Linked DNA regions of Diceros bicornis minor. The protein of the gene in region 1 interacts with the protein of each later gene in a biochemical or structural test. Links are inferred from orthologs where the notes say so. Each region holds a gene or a part of one and is shown on either strand. Other genes may lie near its edges.

The links.
Region 2: the proteins of ADRB2 (region 1) and GRK6 form a complex in vitro, tested with the Homo sapiens proteins (2 studies listed by BioGRID, with this or other methods). The link is inferred for Diceros bicornis minor from reciprocal best matches to the Homo sapiens genes ADRB2 and GRK6.
Region 3: the proteins of ADRB2 (region 1) and GRK2 form a complex in vitro, tested with the Homo sapiens proteins (2 studies listed by BioGRID, with this or other methods). The link is inferred for Diceros bicornis minor from reciprocal best matches to the Homo sapiens genes ADRB2 and GRK2.

Annotation. Positions count from the first base shown.
Region 1 is NC_080740.1:66,047,520-66,054,991, forward strand, and holds the start of ADRB2 (beta-2 adrenergic receptor), read left to right. Parts: upstream 1-4,465; 5' UTR 4,466-4,691; coding exon 4,692-5,948; 3' UTR 5,949-7,472. UniProt on the Homo sapiens protein: Beta-adrenergic receptors mediate the catecholamine-induced activation of adenylate cyclase through the action of G proteins. The beta-2-adrenergic receptor binds epinephrine with an approximately 30-fold greater affinity than it does norepinephrine.
Region 2 is NC_080740.1:90,637,818-90,645,798, reverse strand, and holds the start of GRK6 (G protein-coupled receptor kinase 6), read right to left. Parts: upstream 3,012-7,981; 5' UTR 2,919-3,011; coding exon 2,867-2,918; intron 1-2,866.
Region 3 is NC_080770.1:6,236,406-6,243,561, reverse strand, and holds the start of GRK2 (beta-adrenergic receptor kinase 1), read left to right. Parts: upstream 1-4,103; 5' UTR 4,104-4,308; coding exon 4,309-4,421; intron 4,422-7,156. UniProt on the Homo sapiens protein: Specifically phosphorylates the agonist-occupied form of the beta-adrenergic and closely related receptors, probably inducing a desensitization of them. Key regulator of LPAR1 signaling.

The DNA.
Region 1 (7,472 bases):
ATGCTAAAGGAGACTCTAGACCTAAGGGAATGAGGAATATTTAACCTGAAGAAGAGAAGGCTCAGGAGAACTTGAAGGGATTCTCCCAAAAGCTTAAGGACAGTCTTGGGGAAGAGGAGCTTTGCTTTGAGTGGCCTCAAGGGGGCAGACTTAAGATGCTTGGGTAGACACTTTAAGAACATGGATTTCAGTTCAATATCTGGATAGTTGGAGAAATATACACTGAAAAATGGAGCTGGCGAGCTTGCCTTCACTAAACATGGCTGTATAAGAGTTTTGGTGGCTGCATTGTGTAAGGAGCTGACTAGACTGTGAGATGTTTCATTCAGAACCACTAATATCCCATGCAGGAACATAACTCAATGATAATGGTAATATTCAGAATCATTCTTCTTTCTAAAGAACCAAGTTTTATTCCTTTTTTTCCTGTCAATTCAAATTAAAAATAAATTACTCATCATCCATGTTCAAAGTGTCCTTTCATACATGTGATCTAAGATAAATATGCATTCTACATATACATTTTGATTCAAAAATAAGATAACAAAAGTAATAGCTAACTTTAGGGGCCGGCCCGGTGGCGCAAGTGGTTAAGTGCGCGCGCTCCGCTGCGGCGGCCCGGGGTTCGCTGGTTCGGATCCCGGGCGCGCACCGACGCACTGCTTGGTAAGCCATGCTGTGGCGGCGTCCCATATAAAGTGGAGGAAGATAGGCACCGATGTTAGCCCAGGGCCGTCTTCCTCAGCAAAAAAAGAGGAGGATTGGCGGATGTTAGCTCAGGGCTGATCTCCTCACAAATAAAAAAAAAAAAAAAAAAAAAAAAGTAATAGCTAACTTTTCTCCAAGATAGCCTGTTAAGCACTTTACGTGCAATTAATCTTATTTAATGTTAATTTAACGAGATGATGCTGTACAGAGATAATATTAAAGACAGACATTTAAGACCATCATTTAGAAAGAAATCTACGGATGTTTCTCTGCTCAGAGGGTCATAAAGATGAAAGGAATCTTGTCTAAGCCAAGACCAGGATAAGATTTTCCTAAGCCACACAGCTACTGGTGCGAAGGCATCTCGTGGCACCACAGAGCCCTTAGTCCTATTCAAACATTGGTTCAGTAAATCAAAATGTGTTTTTTTTCCTGCTTGGCAGGCAGGAAACAACGAATCAGTGTCTTAACAGATTGACAAAATACGTAATTAGACACTATCAATCACCATAAAAGAGCCTGCTTTTTCTTACATCAGATAAAGGTGCATTTAGTCTACTAAGGACTTTCCAGTTTCATGAAGCATGAACTCCCTAAGGCCACAAATACAGTAAGCAGTGCTAGTCAAAGTCCTCTGCTAGGGAAAGAAACGAAAGAGTGGGCAGTGAAAACACGTGAGCCCAGGAGCAGACTTGGCTCCTAATTTTCCCTGCCCTCCTTGGACTGGATACTCGCTTCTACCCTTTAGTTTCCTCATTTGCAAACCGGAGGGAGAGGAATAAACTGAACGATCTACTATACTCTTTCCCGTTCTAGTTCTCTCTAATCCTATAGTTCTAAAAGGAGGTCAGGAGAAGACTCCTGGCGTGAAGACAGCATCTTGAAATTCCTACCAGCTTCATGATGCAGCAGAGATAGAGAGAGCTTGTCCATTTGGCAAGGCTGGTGAGCAGAGGCCTAGAACTTCCTCATTGACATAAGCAGTCTTCCCTTCTTGATTTAGTGTTTGTGTGTTTCTTAAAAGGTGTTTCCCCAAATATTAAAAGTTAAACTTTTGGGGCCGGCCAGGTGGCTCAAGCGGTTAGGTGTGTGCGCTCCGCTGCGGCCCGCGGTTTGCCGGTTCGGATCCCGGGCGCACACCGAGGCACCGCTTGTAGAGCCACGCTGTGGTGACGTCCCATATAAAGTAGAGGAAGATGGGTACGGATATTAGCTCAGGGCAAATCTTCCTCAGCAAAAAGAGGAGATTGGCATCAGATGTTAGCTCAGTGCTGATCTTCCTCACAAAAAAAAAAAAAAAGTTAAACTTTTAAGTGACTTACGTGCATACCTAAATGATCAATTAGTGTTTGTCCTAAAAGCATTTTCGTTCTTTTTCTTGTTATGGGAAGGTTAAACAATATGCTTGTTTATCCCATAGCTTCACAAACAGGAAGGAGGTTTTAAATGGCTCAGTTCCACGATTTGGGGTAGATGTATATTTAAAGAAACGTGTTGCATAACAGACACTCCTTCCTCCTAAAATGCATCATACCAGAGCCAATTTTGGAAAACACAAATATGGGGTAGTTATATTTTGAAAACTATGTGAACATAATAGAACCTTAATTAATATTTGTGGCTTTCTATGGGAAATATTTGTTTTGTAAGGCATCTGCCTTGCGAAAACAGTTTCTGCTAGTGAAGGAAGTTAAAAGGTGCATGTACGGTTAAATTTTGTTTCTGAGTTTTACTTCTAGAGTAACTGCCCAAGTTACTTCTGTCCTTTATTGTCCTGGTAGAGAAGACTAACAGCATATTCTAAACTACTAAGTAATTTACATAAAGTTCATTTATAACCCATATTTATGTCTCATTTATATGTGCCAAAGCACTTCTACATTTATTATTATATCATTTGATTCTCACTCAGCCTAATGGAAATGACTTTATTCCCCCTTTAGAGATGAATGAAATTAGGCCCCATCTTTGTCATTTGCCTAAGGAAAGTGAGCTAGAAAGTTCCGAGACAGGGGGATCTGCATCCTGGGTACTCCAATTCCAGTTGGAGTTCTTCCCAGTCCTCCATTCCTTTTTGTATATGATGATGCGGTACACTGAACAAATGAAAAGATGGGTTTTAGAGTCAGGTAGATCTGGGTTCACCTCCTGCCTCTGACCCTGTGCCCCTAGGCAAGATTTTTCCTCTTTGAGCTCCATTTGTGAATTAGGCTAAAAATAGTATCCCCTCTACCATGGGACAGTGGGAAGGATTAAATGGAACAATGCAGGAAGAGCACACAGCAGAATGTTCCATAAATGTTAACCATTGTTATGTTATTATGCAATCTACAAAGTATGTTTGGTTACACCACACGAATTACTTTCAGTTTTTCAAAGACACTACTAATACATGTGAAATCAAACCCTGAAAATTAATTTCTTTTTAACAGTGAAGTCATATGCCAGATGCCAAGGATAGTATTTCACCGGCAAAGATCCTAGTTTTAAGGCTTGGTCTGACTTTTGTTTTTTAAGGAGAAATTATCTTTTGCTTTCTGTGGTTTCCAAACAGTCGTAATGGCAACACATTCTTCATAGTCTGAGCCATATGAAAGTGACATTTTTTAAGTCAGAAACTGCCGATATGGCTCAACCAACAGATCAACAAACTACCCAGCAGATGAAAGGATTTTCCTACTTACAATGGGATTGCTGAAGTTGAGGTTGAAAGGAAAATTCTTCCATTTTCAATACATTTTCATTCCAACAGATAATGAGGGAATGATGCCACACTCACAAGAATTAAAAATTAAAGCATACAACTTTCTTTCTCTCGTCCAAAACACATACATGCACACCCAGCTCCAAATGAAATCCAAAGTGTGAAATTGTATGTCTCAATGCTTGCAAATTCCCAAGGAGGGCACCAAAAGTGCTTGATAGAGAGTGTGCTGAGGAAATCGGCAGCTGTTGAAGTCACCTCCTGTGGTCTTGCCAAATGTTTGAAAGGGTATATGCTGTGTGTCCGTATGTGTGGTGGAAGGGGGTGGGGAGGAGGTCGGGGGTGCAGGGGTGAGGGGTTTGGAGTACCTGGATGGGGACGTCCGTGTCGGTGGCGCTGTGCATGCCTCCAGAAGGAGCGTTTGTGTGTTGTTTACTTCTTTTTGTGTGTGAGCCCATGCCTTTGTGCTTCTGGGTGCCCCTGTGCTTGTTTCTGGCCGCGTATCTGTGTTGACAGGGGTGACTGTCGGTTTCTGTGCGCCCGCGCTCGTGTGCTCGTCGGTGCGCTGGACGGGTGTGTCTCAGCGTCGGTGGCTGTGGCTCCGTATAAGTCTGAGCATGTCTGTCGGGGTGCGTGTGTGCCTGTCCGTGCATGTCTCAGTGGGCACTCTGGTCTCTGTTTCCGAATGCGGGGGAGTGCCCGCGTGCTGCCCTCTGCTCTCAGACCTCGGGCCGCACAGGCCCCCACTGCAGACAGGTAGCAGCCACAGAAGAGCCAAAAGCTCTCGGGTTGGCTCGTAAGCGGGCCAGTTCGAGCTTCAGCCCTCCGGGACCAGCCAGGGTAGCCGGGAGGGAGTGGTGGCCCGCCCGTCCGCTGGGGAGCAGCCGAGCCCCGCCCGGGCCAGCGCCAGGAGTGGGTGGGAGAGGGAGGGGAGGGAAGGGGCGGAGGCCTCGCCCCTTTGGGGCTGCCGGCGCGCCATTGGCGGAAAGTTCCCGCACGTCACGGGGAGGGCAGCTCCCCTAAAGCCCTGTGCACATAACGGGCAGCGCACACTCCTAGGCGGCTTCTCCAGAGCGCAGGCTGAGACTGACAGGCACCGCGAGCCCAGAGCACCCCACAAGCTGAGTGCAGGACGCGCCGCAACCACACCCACCCCACGGCCGCTGAATGAGGCTTCTGGGCGTCAGCTCGCTGCCGGCAGCGCCCCGCCGGAGGTCCGCCCGCTGAGGCGCGGCCGGTGCGCTGGCAGCCAGTGCGCTCACCTGCCAGCCTGCGCGCCATGGGGCAACTCGGGAACGGCAGCGTCTTCTTGTTGACGCCCAACGGAAGCCACGCGCCGGACCAAGATGTCACGCAGGAACGGGACGAGGCGTGGCTGGTGGGCATGGCCATCGTCATGTCCCTTATCGTCCTGGCCATCGTGTTTGGAAACGTGCTGGTTATCACAGCCATCGCCAAGTTCGAGCGTCTGCAGACGGTCACCAACTACTTCATCATTTCCCTGGCCTGTGCTGACCTGGTCATGGGCCTGGCGGTGGTGCCTTTTGGGGCCAGCCATATCCTCATGAAAATGTGGACTTTTGGCAACTTCTGGTGCGAGTTTTGGACTTCCATTGATGTCTTGTGCGTCACGGCCAGCATTGAGACCCTGTGCGTGATCGCAGTGGATCGCTACGTTGCCATCACCTCACCCTTCAAGTACCAGAGCCTGCTGACCAAGAATAAGGCCCGAGTGGTCGTTTTGATGGTGTGGATTGTGTCAGGCCTTACCTCCTTCTTACCCATCCAGATGCACTGGTACCGGGCCACCCACAAGGAAGCCATCAACTGCTATGCCAAGGAGACTTGCTGTGACTTCTTCACGAACCAAGCCTATGCCATTGCCTCCTCCATCGTGTCCTTCTACTTGCCCCTGGTGGTCATGGTCTTTGTCTACTCCAGGGTCTTCCAGGTGGCCAAAAGACAGCTCCAGAAGATCGACAAATCTGAGGGCCGCTTCCATGCCCAAAACCTCAGCCAAGTGGAACAGGATGGGCGGAGCGGGCATGGACTTCGAAGGACCTCCAAGTTCTGCTTAAAGGAACACAAAGCACTCAAAACTTTAGGCATCATCATGGGCACTTTCACCCTGTGCTGGCTGCCCTTCTTCATCGTGAACATCGTGCATGTGATCCAGGATAACCTCATCCCTAAGGAAATTTACATCCTCCTAAACTGGGTGGGCTATGTCAACTCCGCCTTCAATCCCCTGATCTACTGCCGGAGCCCGGATTTCAGGATTGCCTTCCAGGAGCTTCTGTGCCTGCGCAGGTCTTCTGTGAAGGCCTATGGGAATGGCTACTCCAGCAACAGTGACGGCAGAAGTGACTATGCAGGGGAACAGAGTGGAGATCAGCTGGGTCAGGAGAGAGACAGCGAACTGCTGTTTGAGGACAACCCAGGCACAGAAGACTTTGTGAACCGTCAAGGTACTGTGGCTAACGATAGCGTTGATTCACAAGGGATGAATTGTAGTACCAATGACTCAGTGCTGTAATGCGGTTTTTCTACCTTTTAAGACCCCCCCTAACAAAACACTAAGCAGACTATTTAACTTGAGTGTAATAAATTTAGAATAAAGTTGTATAGAGATGTGCAGGAGGAAGGACATCCTTCTGCCTTTTTTTTTATTTTTTTAAGCTGTAAAAAAGAGAAAACATATTTGAGTGAGTATTTGTTTCTTGTACAGTTCAGTTCCTCTTTGCATGGAACTTGTAAGTTTATGTCTGAAGGGCTTCAGTCCCAGAGAACCTGGGGCTGCTATGTTGTGATGACTTTTCTGCATATCTACCTCATTGGTCAAGTATTAGGCGTAATATATTGCTGCTGGTAATTTGTATCTGAAGGAGTCTTTCCTTCCTGCACCCTTGGACTGGAGGATCTTGAGTATCTCGGACCTTTCAGCTGTGAACAAGGACTCTCCCCGCTCCTCTGATTTGCTCAAACAGGGTGTCATAGGCAGGGATTTGAGGGGCAGCTTCACTTGTTTTCCGGAGCAAAGTCTAAAGTTTACGGTAAATAAATTGTTTGACCATGACTTCATTGCACCTGTTTCTCCAAAACCCCTTGACTGGAGTGTGGTTCCTCCCCCACTGGAAACCGCAGGTAACTATTTGTAATAACTGCCCAGTGACTTAATATGGAATAACACAGGAATGACAAGCACTGATTGCTTAACCCTTTCATTTGCCTTTGAATCTGCAAACCTGTATCTCTCCTAACGCTAGGGCCCCAAATCAGTTCTGCCTGCCCCCAGCATAGCTTGTCTCACTTGTCCTACGGTTATTATTCTGTGTTGTCACATCAGAAACACTGACTCATAGAAATGGAGTTATGGACATCTGTTTTGTCCCTCCATGAACCCCACCACCCACCTTCCAGCTCTACTTGTTGGATAGCTGCTTATATTTATGTCTTTGCCATGTCTTAGAGTGGAGATCTTTGTACTACCTCAGGCTTTGGCATTTTAAGGATAAGGAAGAAGTTATTGTGAAAAAGCTACTCAAACAGAGCCCTGTAATTCCAAGGGAGAGTGAAAGGGCATTGGTCATACAGCGAAAGCTGGAAAATACTTAACTGAGGAATATCTCATGACCTAGAAACAGCATTATAAGCCCTCCTCCTTCTTTCCTTCTGTCCATTTCTTCCCTCTCCTTTTGACACTCCTCACTTCAGTATAAACCAATTTCTCAACCTTGGCACTATTAACATTTGGACCAGGTGATTCTCTGTGATGGGGGCTGTTTTGTGCATTGTCTGATGTTCAGCAGCATCCCTGGCCTCTACCCATTAGATGCCAGTAGCACCCTCTGAGTTGTGCCGACCAAAAATGTCTCCAGACATTACATTACCAAACACCTCTTGAGGGGTGAAATTGCCCCTGGTTGAGAACCACAGATATAAAGTTCAAAAATCTAAACAGATTTTTAGATCCTGTCTCATGTGACCATTTTATTTTGCAGAGCCTAAGAGAGGGATTTTTCAGGGTTCCTCTGGTTAGTGACAGATCCTGGGCCAATGC
Region 2 (7,981 bases), about 25 Mb from region 1:
TTCTGATTTTTCAAAAGCAGCTGGTTATCTGGACTGTTACATGAAATATTGCTTCCCATTTTTTTTAAAACCCACTGCAGCCAAATAAATAAAACATGTTAGAGAGCTAGAAAGATGTGGCCTGTGGGCCAGAAGGTTGAGAACAGTGGCAGGGGCCTGAGTCTTAGTCTCATAGACCTGGGTTTGAATCTCCAATTCACACTTTAGGCCCATCACTTGCCCTCTGTGAAACTCAATTTCTCCATGTGTACTTTGGGTCCAAAGCCACCTCCGGAGGTAGTGGGTGACTGGGAGAGTCTGTGTCCAGCACTCAGTAGGGCTGTGGCAAAGTGGGCCCCCGCTCCAACAACTCAGTGGGAACCTCAGGGAATCACTTTCCTTTGCCCAGCCTCAGTTTCCCCTCTGGTTTTAGCCAGCCTGAAGGCAGGTGGTGCAGGAGGAGGGGCCTTCTTCTAGGGAGCAGGCAGGGCTGGGTCCCTCAAAAGGCTCCCTGACCTAAGCTGCCTGGAGGAGGAAGTATCACAAGGCACCCATTGGGAAACTTGCTAGCAGCCCTCCTGCAGCCTGCACCCAGCACAGCCCCCCATCATTGCTCCACTGTGAGTGAGCAACAGACCCTCCACCCCCAACCCGGGCAAGGCCTCCCCAGAAGGGGAACTCCTCCCTCACCCCCGCAGGTCCCTCACCCAACCCTCCATCCGCCTGCCTCCCCCCACCAGTTACTTCCTCCTCCCCCTCCTCCCAGCCACAACAAGGCAGCAGCAAAGAGTCACATGCAAATATCCTGTCCTAGAACTGCCACCAGAGTCAGTGGGGCTCCTCCGCACCCTAGGTTGGCCCCCTCCCTGTGCCTCTGGGCACCTGGGAAAGGAAGGATGAGCAAGGGCTCACACCCCCAGTGCTGTCCCACTTCACCCTCCCAGCAACTCTCCCAATTTCATGAGAAAACTGAGGCCCTGAAAGGAAGAATCAGTTTGTCCAAGATCCAAAGTCTGGAGGTGCCAGAGGCAAGATTCGAACCCAGCTCCCTGGGACCAATACCCAATCTCCTTCCCCACCCCAAACATGCCGGGCATCTATTAGATGTCAACTGAATACATACACCAAAGGTTCCCAAACCACTTAGGGCCTCAGATCACTTGGGAAGCTGGCAAAAGCCTGGCCCCGAGCTGTCAGCCAGTTCACGGAGGGATTCCGACATAGCCAGTCCAGGGGCCAGGGTTTGGGACTTGGTGACAACTGGGATTTCCTTTAGTTTTCATGTCCTGTCCCCAACCACTCCACAAAAAGGGTTACTGAGGTTCAGAGAGAAGAGACTTGTCTAGAGCCACGCAGGTGGAAAGGGCAGAGACAGGTCGGGGCAAGGGCTCATCCAGTGGAGGCACAGTCCTCAGTCCGACCATACCCTGCTACGCCTCACTCAGCGCCTGAGGAAGCCTGTCTGAAGGTGCCCACACTCCTTGGCCAGGCAAGGCAGTGCCGGAGGCCTGAACTGGCTACAGCCCTAGGGAGGGAGGCCTGGCCAGGCTCTCCCCACCCCTCCTCCCTGGCTGGCTGGATGACGAGGCAGAATAGAATCGACAGACGCCCCCAGAGGCTGAGAGGAAGGCCCAGCCCCGGGACTCGATAAGGGACAGGAGATAAGTCAGGCTCTGGGCACTAAGGACCCAGTCTGCCATGCCCATTTCCAGGCAGCACCTCCCTGAGGTCAACATGCACTGGGCAGGCAGGGGGCACCCAATGCTGTGCCAGCTGGGGGCTCCTCTGGGCTTCCTACAGACTGTGTTGGGGGCATCCTGCGCCCCAGGCCTGAGTCAACCACAGTGTGGCTGTGTGACCTAGGGACTAGTCCCTGGTCTGAGCCTCAGTTTCCCACCTGTAAAATGGAGCAGAAAGGTGAAGCAGTGACTCTTTCAGCCTGGAGGGCCAGCAAAGAATGGAAAAACTGTCATGACCTCCCTGCCCTACAGTTCCAAAAAGGGTCTTGTTCAATGCTGGGACTCCAGCACCCTGGACAGGACAGGGCAGAGAGTGGGTTCTGGGTTATTCTGTTATTGAGGTGGACAATGGCAGATGAAGGGCAAACTGACCACAAGGCAGCGAGGACCAGGTCTGGTCCTTCCATGTCCCCCATGACTATCATAGAGCAGGTGCCTGGTAACATCTGGGCTGGGAGCCATGAGGAGCCCAGCACACACTCAGTTCACCAGACCGGCTCCCTCTGCATGCCCAGCACGCTCTCTTACTTCAAAGCTCAGCTGCCACTTATTTCTCTACCCGTCTGCCCCACTAGATTGTGGGCTTCCTGAGAGCAAAAATTGTTACCCAGTCACCTCTGTCCCCAGTGTCCTGAGGCACCCAGCAACTGCAGTTGTACTGATAGCATATGTGACCAGCAGTTTCCCCAAGTCGGGTGGGCTCTGTTACGGCGGAGGCTCCGTTCGTTCATTCATTCTGCAGCCTTTACTCTGGACCAACTTGGTGCCAGTTCGGGCTGGACCCGGGGGTCTAGGCCCGGGGCACGTGGGGCAGGCTGCCCCTTCCTGGGGCATCTTCTCGAACCTCTCATCTGGGAGACGCCTCGGAGAGGCTCTCCCGGGGCTCAGGTCCCACCCTTCCCTCTTCCTTCCTCTCTCCTTCCCTCACCCCTCACCCCCCCGCCGCGAGGGCGGCGGCCTGACCCCCGCCCCTTCCTGGGCCCCCGCAGGTGCGGAGGAGGAGGACGACCAGCCGGAAGGGCTCGCGTCCGCGCGGGGTGGGGGGCGCGCTGCCCGAGGGGTTCGGACGGCCGGGGCGCCCCGCCAAAGTCGGAGGCCGCGCGCCCGCGTTTCCCGCACCCGGCCGCCCGGCAGCCCGGCAGCCTCACCTTCCCGGGCCTTGAGTAGCACCGTGTTTGCTACGATGTTCTCGAGCTCCATGGGCTGCGGCGCCGCCGGGCCCGCCGGGCCGCGCCGCCGGCGGGATCGCGCGCGGGAGCCGGGGCCGGATGGCGATCGGCGCGGCTCGGCTCGGCTCGGCTCGCAGTGACCGCGCCGCGGCCTCCCGGGCCTCCCCGGCCGCCGCCGCCCGCCGCGCACTCTCCGCCCCCTCCCGGGGGCCACCCCGGCGCCGGCCCGCCCCGCCCCGCCCTCTGTTTACTTTACTCGGCCAATAACCCAGCGGGCGCTCCCCGCGCCGTCTTCCCATTAGACAGCCTCTTCATCTTCCCCCGCCCCCCGAGCCAGGGATTCGCTCAAAGGAGAAGGGGGGCGGGACTTAATACGTCACCGCTTCCTGGTTGGTCTGCGGTGGGGTTTAGCCCCTAGGTTCGAATTTCTGGGCCTTCATAGGATACCGAACTGCCAATTAGGGCCGAGCCCTCCGCTGGGACACCAGAGGTGGGTCCTCTGGGTCACGCCCCGGAGGCCGGAAGTTTGATTGGATTTTGGAAGCGTCAGTCATTCTCAGCAGTGCACTCTGATTGGGCCATCAGATGGGGTGTGGCCCGGGTCCCTTGAGCTCGCCTTGGCTTTTGTAGGGTTTGTAGAGACACACTTGGCATCCTGGGCCTCCTGCGGGCCTGCTGCGAGCTTGTTTGGGCCATGTGTCCGGCCGTATTCCTTTGGGTCGGCCCATACTGGAGGGCACACGTCGGAAGCGGGGAGAGGCCCGGAGGAGGCTGACGGCCTCCCCCGCGGCTCTCCGGCCTCTGGCCTGGGCGCAGCAGGCACCCTCGCCCCGCCCCCGCAGCCGGATGTTGTGATTTCTCTCCACCCACACGGCCTTGGCCGCCCTCGGCTTCTGCTGCCTTATAAGGCAGCGCTACCACCCCGAGACGTTGGGATGAGGTCACACCCATTATACAGGTGGGGAACTGAGGCGCCAGAGGTCCAGTGGCTGGCTCCAGGCCGAAGACTAGGGAGAAAACAGGCCGAAATTTTACAGCTAATTAACAGCTTCTAGCTCAGCATCCTACTCTCTCCACCCCCACTTCACACACCAGGAAAGGAGGCTTGCCCAAACTCAGCGAGTAAGGCAGAGTTGGATTCAACTAGGCTTCTCTGATCTCTATCCATTCATTCATCCAAAAATACAGAGCACCTGCTTTCTGCCAGGCACCAAGCCAAGTGCTGGGGAATACAGTGGTGTCAGCAAGACAGCCAAGCTCCCTGCTCACATGCTAGAGGGGACTAAAGGTGATAATCCTGTAAATACACAAATAAATAGGATAGTCTCCAAGAGTGATAAGTGCTATTAAGACAAAATACAGAGTGAGGAGAAATGGTCTCAGAGTGCGGCATTTGAGCAGATCCAGCCACACAAAGACCTAGGGGAACAGTTCCAAGCTGAGGCAACAGCGGGTGCAAAGGCTCTGAGCCTAGAGTAAGTTTGGTGTGTTCAAGGAACAGGAAGAAGGCCTGTGTAACTTCAGAGCCCAGTGGTCTGAGATGAGATGAAGGAGCAAGGATCCCAGCTAGATCGTGGAAGGCTTTGTAGACCATAGCAAGGAGTTTGTTTTTCTTAAGTGAAATGTGAAGCCTTTGAAAGAATAATTTAGATTTAAAAAGATCACTCTAGCTAGTGGACTTTTAGGGGGCCAAGACTGGAAGCAGAGAGAGTAGTTGGGAGGCTACAGAATTCCAGGACAGAGAGGATGGTGGCTTGGACCAAGAGAGTGGCAGTGGAGATGAAGAAAAGTGCATGCATCTAGGACGCATATGGGAGTAAAGATAAGTACCTTGAAAGAGGAGAACCCAGTGGCCAGTGGGACAAAAGGCAGGCACCTCACCCAGTGAAGGCTGCTGTGTCGAGTGAGACCTGAGGGGTGGGGGAGAAGATGCAGGTTTCAGAGATAACTGGAGCAGGGGGAAAGAGACTTCTGGACAGAGGGCCAGCACATACTCAAAGCTCCGTAGAGGAAGGTGGTAAGGGCTCCTGCACCGGGGGCAGAGCCTTGGACCAGTTTCAGGTACACATTGGGGTGGGCACGGGAGGCAAAAAATGAGGCTGAGGCCTTAGGAGTGGCCTGGATCAGGAAGGTCTTTGGAAGCCGGGTAAGGAGTTTGGACTTCATTTTGAGGATAGTGGGGAGCTGTCAAGGGTTTTTTAAGTCAGGGAGTAGTGTGATCAGATTTGCTTACACAGAGGGCTCTGAGCCACACTGTGGAAGATGTGCTAGGGATGGGGTCAAAGGTCAGGAGTGAAGGGCTTAGGCTGACCTGTAGACACCTGTTGTTTTGGTGTTCAGCATCTGAACACCCCTTTCTTTTGGGAGGAAACCTATGAAATGCAGAGACAGCCCCTGCCTTCCACTAGGGAAGTCAGAGGGGAGGCAGAATTTCCTCTCCAAGGTCCCTGGTAGCTGGAGCATGTTTCCAATGATTCCAATCAGCTCTATGAATCCAAAGCAAGTGATTAACATAAGACATCAGACGGACCATTTAGGATTCATTATGGAGGCAGTGGAAGGGGAGGTGGATGTGGTCAAGCCAGGCTCTTCCTGGGTAGGGGGATTCAGCAAGCACCCAGGAGCTGTCCAATCAGTTCCTTGTCTGCCTAAGTCACCCAGAGTGGCTTCGTTGTTTGCAGCCAAATATCCTGAGTAAGACAAGTGGAAGACCTTTCAAGAGGAGCCATTCGAGAGAGGAATGACAGTGCCCTGTGCTGGGGCAGTGGCCAGGGGATGTAGACAAGTGGCCAGATTGAGAGGTCTCATGGAGCTGGGGTGAACAGGACATGGCAATTGATATGAGGTGAGGAGGGAAAGGTGTCATGCACAGCTGTCAGATGCTGACTCTTCAACCCATTCTCGCCGTACAGCCAAGTGATCCTTTTTAAAAGGGAAACCTGCCACCAACTCTCTGAGATATGCATTTCTAGAAACTTATGCTACAAATATAATTGCACTCAAGCAAAATAAGAAATGAATGTTCAAGTTTCTTCATTGCAGCATTGTCCGAAAAGATGAAACGTACTAATTGTCTTTATAGGGACTAGTTAAGTAAAATTTAGTCCTTTTCTATACAGGAATACTATGTAGCTGTTTTAAAAACGTGTGGGAGTGCTCTTTATGTACTGATATAAACAATCCTCAAGATGTATTGTTAAATGAAAAAGCAAAGTGCAGAACAGTGTGTCAGGTTCGCTACCATTTGTGTAAAAGGGTCAGGATAGGCTAGGTTATGCTCTAGTAACACACAATCCCCAAATTTCAGTGACTTAAAACAACCAAAGTGTATTTCTCAGATACACGGCAAGTCCAACACACGTTGTTGGGCGGTGGGGAGGCTCCACACAGGGCGGTCAATCAGGGACTCAAGATGAGGGGGCTCCATCTCAATTTGTGCTTCTACAATGGCAGACAGTAAAAAGAAATGTGGTGAATCACAATGGCCTTTAAAGCTTGCACCCGAAAGTGACACAAGTCACTTCTGCTCACATTTCATTGGTCAAGGCAAACCACATGGTCACGACTAACTCAAAAGGGGTGGGGAGGTACAGCACTGCTGTGGCAGATGGTATTTTCCAAAGATGAGTGTCACAATAAGCTCTCATCCCACGGGCACTTCTTCAGTGTGACCTTGACACCCCCACATCAACAAATGGGCTCTCATTTCCCTGTCCTTGACTCTGGTCTGGCCTTACTGACTCTCAGCATCAGTAGAATCTGGTGGAAGTGATGCACGTGAGGTCTGAGGCTAGGTCAGGAAAGTCATGCAGCCTTGTTTTCTCGTAATGCCTATTCTCCAGAAGCTTCTCCTGGGATGTTCCCTCAGAATCAGCGGCCGTGCTGTGTGAAGCCCACACTGAATGGAAAAGCCACGTGTAGGTGCTCTGCTCTGCTCAACAGTCCCTGCTGAGCTCAGCCTTCCAGTTGTCCCACCCGAGCACCAGACATTTGAGTGAGGAAGCCTCCAGGTGATTCCAGCTCCTAGCCATTGGAATCAGCCCCAGCCATTCAAGTATCCCCAGCTGCGACCCCTGGCACTGTGGTACAGAGACATGCCATTCCTGCTGTGTCCTGCCTGAATTCCTGACCTGCAAAACCCATGAGCATAATAAGATGGTTGCTGTTGGGGCTGGCCCCATGGTGTAGTGGTTAAGATCGGTGTGCTCCACTTTGGCAGCCCAGGTTTGCGGGTTTGGATCCCAGGTGCGGACCTACACCACTTGTCAGCAATGCTGTGGCGGCGACCCACATACAAAATAGAGGAAGATTGGCACAAATGTTAGCTCAGAGCTAATCTTCCTCAGGCAAGAAAAAAGAGAAAGATCGGCAACAGGTGTTAGCTCTGGGCGAAGCTTCCTCACCAAAAAAAAAAAAAAAAGTTGTTGTTTTATGCCCCTAAATTAGGAGTGGTTTGTTACGCAGAGATAGATTCCTGGAATAACTACTATATGCCTGGAAGGAGAATAGAATTGGAAATAATATTTGGTGAACAACACTAACTACTATAGACGAATTTGCTTCTACATGCATGGCCCGCCTCTGGAAGGCCACAGGAGGCACAGAACACTGGTTGCTTCTGGGAAGGGGGAGTTAAAAGGCCGGGGACAGGTGTGGGAGGGGAGGCTTTTCATCATAAACCCTTTTGGACTTTTAATCTTGCATCCTGTGAAGATATTGCTTATTTTAAAAATAATCATGGGCCAGCCCAGTGGCATAGTTAAGTTCACGTGCTCCACTTCTGTGGCCCAGGGTTCGCAGGTTTGGATCCCAGGCGCAGACCTACACACCACTCATCAAGCCATGCTGTGACGGCGTCTCACATACAAAATAGAGGAAGATGGGCACAGATGTTCGCTCAGGGCCAATCTTCCCCAGCAAATAATAATAATAATAATAATAATAATAATAAAATTAAAAAATAAAAATAATCAGCCTGATCCCATCACTCTCCTGCTCAGAACCCTCCAGTGGCTTCCTGGGGTGGAGAGGCTCTAGGGTGGCCCCCATGAGCCCTCCTCCTGGTATTCACACCCTGATGTGATTCCCTCCCCT
Region 3 (7,156 bases), on another chromosome or scaffold:
TGGACACCCCTCCTGGGGTCAGGGAAGCCCCCAAGCTCATCCTCCTGGATCTTCAAAGCCCAGGACGATGGAGATGGAGACGTGAGGGGCTGCGGTGCACTCCTGGGCCTTGGCACGTGCCAGTCCTCACTCACATTCACATGCACACAATGTCAAGTTCAAGACCTTCCCCATTCCTCCTCTGCCCTCTATGACCTTTCCCCAACCCTTCCCCTGACCTTCTCCTGAGTGCTCCACCTCCTCAAATCATAGCTCTTGCCGGGTTAATTGGAGGTATATGTTTAGGGGTCTTCTTCCCCACTGGACTGGGCCACCGCTGAATCCTGTTTCTCTTTGCAGCCCTAACCTAGTGCTGAGTGCCATGCTGGTTGTGAGGGATGCAGTAGTGACCATGACAAACAGGGGCGCCAAGGGAGAGCCCTTGAGCAGGAACCTTTCAGCCCACGAGATGCAGGGTGAGCAGGAGCCCACCTTGCCGGAAAGGAGGGGAAGGACATTCCAGACAAGGGGAATTATGAAGTCAGGACCCCAGAGGTGGAAATGAACTTAGCTTGTTATAGTGACAGAAGGAAGACCAGAGAGACTGGAGACTAAGGGGCCCGGGCATGAAGTTGAGTTAGAGAGGTAGGCAGGAGCCAGACTGTGCGGGTCTTACAGGCCACAGAAAGGGGGCTGGGTTTTATCCTAAGTGCAGGGGCAGCCATCGGAGGTGGGGTTTGATTTAGGCCTGTAAAAACTCTGACTAGAGGAGAGGCGGGGAGCCCTGAGAGGAGGCTGGTGCAGGCATCAGCACCAGGCGGGAAGTGATGGGATTCGGATCGGGTTTAGCAGGGCACAGTGGAAGGATTCGGAGTAAACTTTGGAGACAGACACACCAGGGAGTCGACAAGACAGGCTGGATGAGAGCATGTGTATGTGTGAGGCAGGGCAGGTGAGGGAAGACAGGAATCAAGGATGACTCCTAGGCTTTTGGAAGGTGGAGGAGCCACGACTGAGATGGGGAGGCGGGAGAGCAGCGGGTTGGACAGCGGCTGGGTGGTGGGAGCAAGAGCTCAGTGTGGGACGCGTTAAGTTTGCAACACCTATTAGTCATCCAGGGGAGATGCCAGGTACTGATGTGTATGTGGGTCTGCCAGCTGGGCAGAGATGGGGTTCCACCCCTCTTTCACTCCCAACATCCCAGCCGGAGGCTGGCACAGTCTGGGCAATGACAAAGGTTTGCTGAGACAAGGAATGACTGAAGCCAGCCTGAAAAGACAAGTTTACAGTTGACCTTCCTTCAACCACCAGAGGGCAGCACCATCCAAAAAAACCAGCCTCCCCAGGCCATGGACTGGCACCAACCTCTTCCCAGCCCAGGGCTTCAGGAGTGGCTTTCCAGGATCCCAGGAATCAATGAGGGGTGCCCTGGACACTGGCTCTTTCCAAAGTCCCCAGGCTTCAGGCTCACCAGGGCTGCAGGTTGGGCTGTGGGTGGGAGAGGCAGTGTGGGTTTTCAGGCGGTGGGGGGAAGGTAGGGCCACCTTCTGGAGCAGGATGGCTGGCATTTCAGAACCAACGGGGATTCTGGTTTGACAAGTTCATCAGGCAGAATTTTTAAAATAGGAGCTGCTCCAGAAAACCCAGGTCAGCGTGTGGCTGTAATCAGAGTCCCAAAGAGTTGAAGAGTCAGGGCGGGGCAGGAGGGAAGGTGAGAGGCCTCCTGTTGTGGCATCCTCATGTGCCTCTGGCCCTGTTCTGCCCCAAACTCCACGTGCCACCTTGGGCTGAGGAGCTCATTCACTCAGTCAGTCATTCATTCATCAAACATTGACTATGCCTTTCTGTGTCAGGTCCCATGGTGGGAACTGGGGGCAAAGAGATGAACTGGGAGCATCAGTTACAGTGGGAGATGGTAAATACTTTTTTTTTTTTTTGGCACACATTAGCATTTCTGACATCAGGGTGCATTTTCCAATCCATGCAAACATGTTATAAAGCTTCACACACACCCAGTGTCTAAACTGGAAATGATGCATCTTGCAGTTGATGATGTTTTCAAATCAAGGAAATAGGTGGTAAGTGTAGAATTGGAGATGCACACAATGGGGGTCAGGGTGTTGGGGAAGGCTACCTGGAGGAGGTGGGTCTTAAAGGATGAGCAGGAGTTAGCCAGGAAGAGGGCACACAGAGGGCTTCCAGGCACAGGGAAGGGCAATGGCACAGAGGTAAGAACTGGTGGGTGGGCTGGTAGGGGGACCCTAGGTGCAGAGGATGGTGGCGACACAAGCTGGAAAGGGGAGCAGGGCCCAGGCATCCAAGACCCTGACTTGCAGGTTAAGGAACTTGTTCACCTGATCTGCTTTGGGCAGAGTGGGGGTGTCCCCCATGCTCAGCAGCTCCAGAAGGCCTCGAACACTGCTTCTTGGTGCTAAGCAGGCAGTAACTCCATGAGATCTAGATGTGGGAGCGGCATCTCTGGTCAGGGCCTGTATCAGGGCAGCAGCCATGGGGATGCTGAGAAGCAGACAGGTTCAAGAAGACAGGTTCTCAGGAGGCCAGACAAGAGGGTATGGTGATAGATTAGGGCAGGGGGAGAGAGAGGAGTCAAGGATGATGCCCGGAGATCTGGCTTGGGTATCTGGGTGGATGGTGGTGTCGCCCACTGAGAAGGGGACCTTGCCATCTCTGATGTGCTCTGGTTCCAGACTCTGCCAACGCTGATCTCAGAAGGTAGCCTGAGAGGTGTACAGGGAGGGGGGTCCCTGCTTTGCAAAAGGGTCCTGGTTACTGGCCCACAAACTGTCATGAGGCTTGGGCTCCATATGCCCGGGACTGGGAGGGGATCTTGTCACCTTGGAAAGCAGAGAGAGGCTCTAGAGAGGGGCATGTTGAGATAGGGGGTGCTGCTTTGAGACACATGGATCCCCCTACTGTGGGCTCTCAGCAGAGGATGTTTCCCTTACCAGGCAGCACTGAGACCCCTGTGCCCTCCCAGGCTAAGAGAGGTTTGAGCCCGTCTTGTGGAATCATGATGATTCCATCATAATGCCATGGATGGCCTGGGGTGCAGGCCAGGACCTGGGTCTACAAGCCAGTCCAGGGAGGGTAGGGGTTGGTTCAGGTTGTTTGGTCCCGAGTGGGAGTCCTGGGGTCAGGGTTGGGTCTGGAGCAGGAGGGGTAAGAACTGACTGGGCTAAGTCTGGAGTTGTCATGTCCCAGGTTCATGGCCACCTGTTAAGGGTTCTAGGTCCAGTCTGGGTCCTGATTGGATGTCCTGGTCCTGGGTCCCCGTCCAGAGTTCTTGGTGTTGGGTCTAGGACCCTGGTCTAGGGTTGACAGTTCAAGTCTGGATCTGGGCCCTGCCCCCAAGTCCAGGGTTTAGGGTCACGGTAGTGGTCTGGACCTGGGGTTGGAATCAAGGTTGGGGTCAGTAACCAGGATGGGATCCAGGTCATGGTCTGTGGCTGGGATCAGTGTTTGAGGTCATGGTCTAAAATCTGGATCTGGGGTCCTGTTGGGGGTCTGGGGTCCGTGTCAGGGTCTGGCTGTGGAGTTGGGGACCCCAGGTTGTGATCCAAGGTTGTGGTCAGAGTCTGAGGTGGTGGTCCAAGGTTTGGGTCTAGGGTCCTGTTTGGAGTCTGGGGTCAGGAATGTTATCCAGGTCTTATGTCACGTGGTGGACTGCGTCCAAGGTCAGGGAGTCAGGGGTTAAAGCCAGGGTCTGAGACCCAAGTCCCTGGGATCATGTTCTGAAGTGCCAGTCTGGGGTCAGGGCCGTGGTCTATCCTGGAGTCTGGGATCCGAGCTGGGATCCGAGTTGCGGTCAAGGTCTGGGTCTAGGGCCTCCTTCGGTGCCGGGTCCCTGTCGTGTTCCAGGTCTGGGGTCAGGGTCACGGCCCAGGCCCGGGGAGGGGTCGGGTCTGAGTTGGGGTCCGGGCGGCCACGGGGTCAGGCTCGGTCCGCCGCACGGCCTCCAGGGGGCGCCGCCGCCCGCCCGCCCTCCCGGCCCTCGCGGGTTCGCTGGCGCTGTGCGCGGCAGGCGGGGCCGGAGGCGGCGGCGGCTCCGGGGCGGCGGTGGCGGCGGCGGCGGCGGCGGCGGCCCGACTGCAGTCCCGGCGGGAGCGGAGCGAGCCGGGGCCGGGCCCGAGCCGGCGCCATGGGGCGGCGCCGCCTGTGAGCCGCGGCGAGCGGAGCCGCGGGCGCCGAGCGGGGCCGGGCGGGCGGCGGCGCCCGAGGCCGACGGAGCGGCCGGGCCGGGCCGAGCGCGCCGAGCCGAGCGGAGCGGAGCCGAGCCGAGCGGCGGGAGAGGCCGCCGCCGCCGCCAAGATGGCGGACCTGGAGGCGGTGCTGGCCGACGTGAGCTACCTGATGGCCATGGAGAAGAGCAAGGCCACGCCGGCCGCGCGCGCCAGCAAGAAGATCCTGCTGCCCGAGCCCAGGTGAGGCGGCGCCGGCGCCGGCCCCGGCCCGCGCCCGCGCCTGCGCCCGCGGGCGCCCTGCCCGGCCCCCCGAGCCGGCGCCCGACCCCCAGCCCTCAGCCCCAGACCCCCCAGGCGCGAGCCCGGGACCTCTCAGCCCGTCCACCGCCCCGGGACCCGCAGCCCCGAGCCGACCCCGCAGCCCCAGGCCCCGTGCACCTGAACCCGGGCGCCCCAACGCCGGGGCTTTCCTGCCCCGCTGGCTCCTCGAGCGCTCCGTACCCCCCGCCCCGCTCTACCCCCCTGTCCCTTCCTCCACTCTAGCTGGCCCTCATCTCTGTCGGCCCCTGCTCCTCCCTTCTCCCACAGGGGCCCCATGCCTCCCTTCATCCTCCTCCGGGCAGCCCGTGCTCCCCGTGGGGTCCCCTCCTCCGGCTGCCACCATCTACCTGGCCTGACTCTATTGCCCATCCTTTTACTGCCTCTATTCTGGGCACCCCCCTTGGGGTTCCACTACCCCTACCCCTAGCCCCCTCTGGTCAACACTTGTGTGAGATCTGGGGGAGACAAGTCTTCCGGGGTCTTCTGCACCCTTCTGGTCGGTCGCTGGCTTGGAGTGGGGTTTGAGAGTGCTTTGGGGGCCAGGGTGGTGGTGAGGAGCAGGGTGTGGTGTGTGCCCCATCCCAGTGGGAGAGACGCCCCCTGTCCCTCTCCCCTCGCATTCCCCCTCTGGTGGGCCCTGCCTGTGGTGCCCTGTGGGTGCTGTTTGCAGGGGAACATCCCAGAACCCTGCAGCAGCTGGACCAAGGCTGCCCCCTCTCCATGAGACATCTGATGTCATCACACCTGGTATCAAAGTTGAAACTGTTCAGGATGTAGTATCAGAAGTACACAGGATACGGACGATAGCTGAGGCTTGTCCAGCGTTTTATGGCTTCTAGAGTATTTGCTCGTTGTTTGAGCCTGACAGCAGCCCATGAGGAGGTAGGACAGGTGTGGTTTTGTCCCCATGGCACAGGTGGAGAAGCTGAAGCCTGCCCAGTGTCACAGGTAATCCAGAGTGGTGCCTGGCCCCCAGATCAGGGCTTCCGGCTTCTAGTTCCATATTGTGTCCACCACTCTGGCGTGAGCCGGGGCCTGGCCGTTCTGCATCTACGAGAGCCGTGTGCCCACCACGAGTCCTCATGTCATGTGGCCAGGCCAGTCCCAGCACGACCTCCATACCTGCCTGAGAGTTGGCATGCTGGTGCCTGGCTGGCCCGGGAGCCTGGGCCTGTGCTAGGTGTCATGGTCTTATCATGTGACTTTGGGCAAGTCCCTTCCCGTTTCTGGGCCTCGGTTTTCTCATCTGTGAAATGTGGATGGTGTGAAATAATGGCTGAGACTGTGCGGCGTTCTGAGTCTTTGAAGCAGGGCCCGAGGCTGCAGGGGGTGCCATGCTGATGTCTCCGGTTCCCCCGTCCATGCCTTGTTCTTGCTGGGTTTCGGGTTGACTGCACACCAGGCCTGGGAGAGGAAAATGGGTCTGCATTTTGAAAAGGTCGTTAGAGCCCTTTTTTTCTAAGACATTTGCAGTCAGATTTCTCAAAACAGGAACCAGACTGACTGTTAGCTGGGGGCTGTCCAGGGAGCGGCAACAGTTAGAACAAAAATGAGTTCAGAAATGACAAAGCCACGAGGGAGGAAATGGGGGAAGTCAACCTTTGGGGTTCTCAACGGCTCTCCTTGGTGGCCGCGGCCTTGAGACCCTCCTGCCGGTTGGAGTTCTGCAAAGTGTGAGGCGGGGCCTTTTCTGGAACTCTCTGCCTTTGGGTAATCTCTCCCCAGAATGCATTGCTCCTGATGGGGCCCCGCCTTGGGTTGGCCATGCAGGTGTTAGAACCCTGAGAAACGAGGCGTTCCTCTTTTCCTGTCCCCTTTACCATCCGTGGTAGTGATGGTGGCGACAGGAGTGATGGTGGAAATTATAATTTATTATTTATTTTGACATCTGTCATCTCAGTTGATCCAAAACTCAACCTGTGAAGTTGGCAAGGCTGTGCCTTGCGTGTAGTAGTTGCTCAAGAACTATCGGGACTGTGTGGTGTCAGAAGCCAGGTGGACTGCGAGTTTTAGGGGAACAGCAGGAGACGGGAGCCAGGTGTCATGGGTTCTCATATAGGGTCACCATCTGGCAGCACGACCTTGGGCAGATTGCCCCCATCTGTGAGGTGGACCAGAGGCTCTAGCAGTGACTGACAGTGGGCTAAGGACAGGGAAGGGCCAGAGCCACTCTGTGCAGCAGGCCGGGGCTGGCCCTGGGAGTCCAGGTCTCCTGCGTTGGAGGACACGTCACCCTTTGCTTTATGCTTTGCACACCCAGTGGGTCAGGTGCCTCCTGCCCTGGGAGGTCATCATGACTGTATCTTGTGTTTGCCTGGCACGTCCCAGTTTGCTTTTTACTCCATTTTATCCTTTTCACAGCTGTGGGCAGCAGGCACAGCAAGTGGTATGCTCCCATTTAATAGTTGAAGCAACTGAGGCTCAGAAAGGCGGGGGGGGGGGGACACACTTGGTCACAGAGACAAGCTAGAATTTGAACGCGGGTCTCTGCACCCCCAGGGGCTCTCTCACTGCTGTGCTTCGTTTTCTCCACACACGCCTCTGCACCTCTGCTCTCACCCCCTCCATGTTTTGTGGAATGTGCCAGCTGGCCTCCCTCCTCTGGGGAGCTGGGGGTCTGGGGAGGTGGCCTGGAAGCAGCAGGGCAGCCCCCA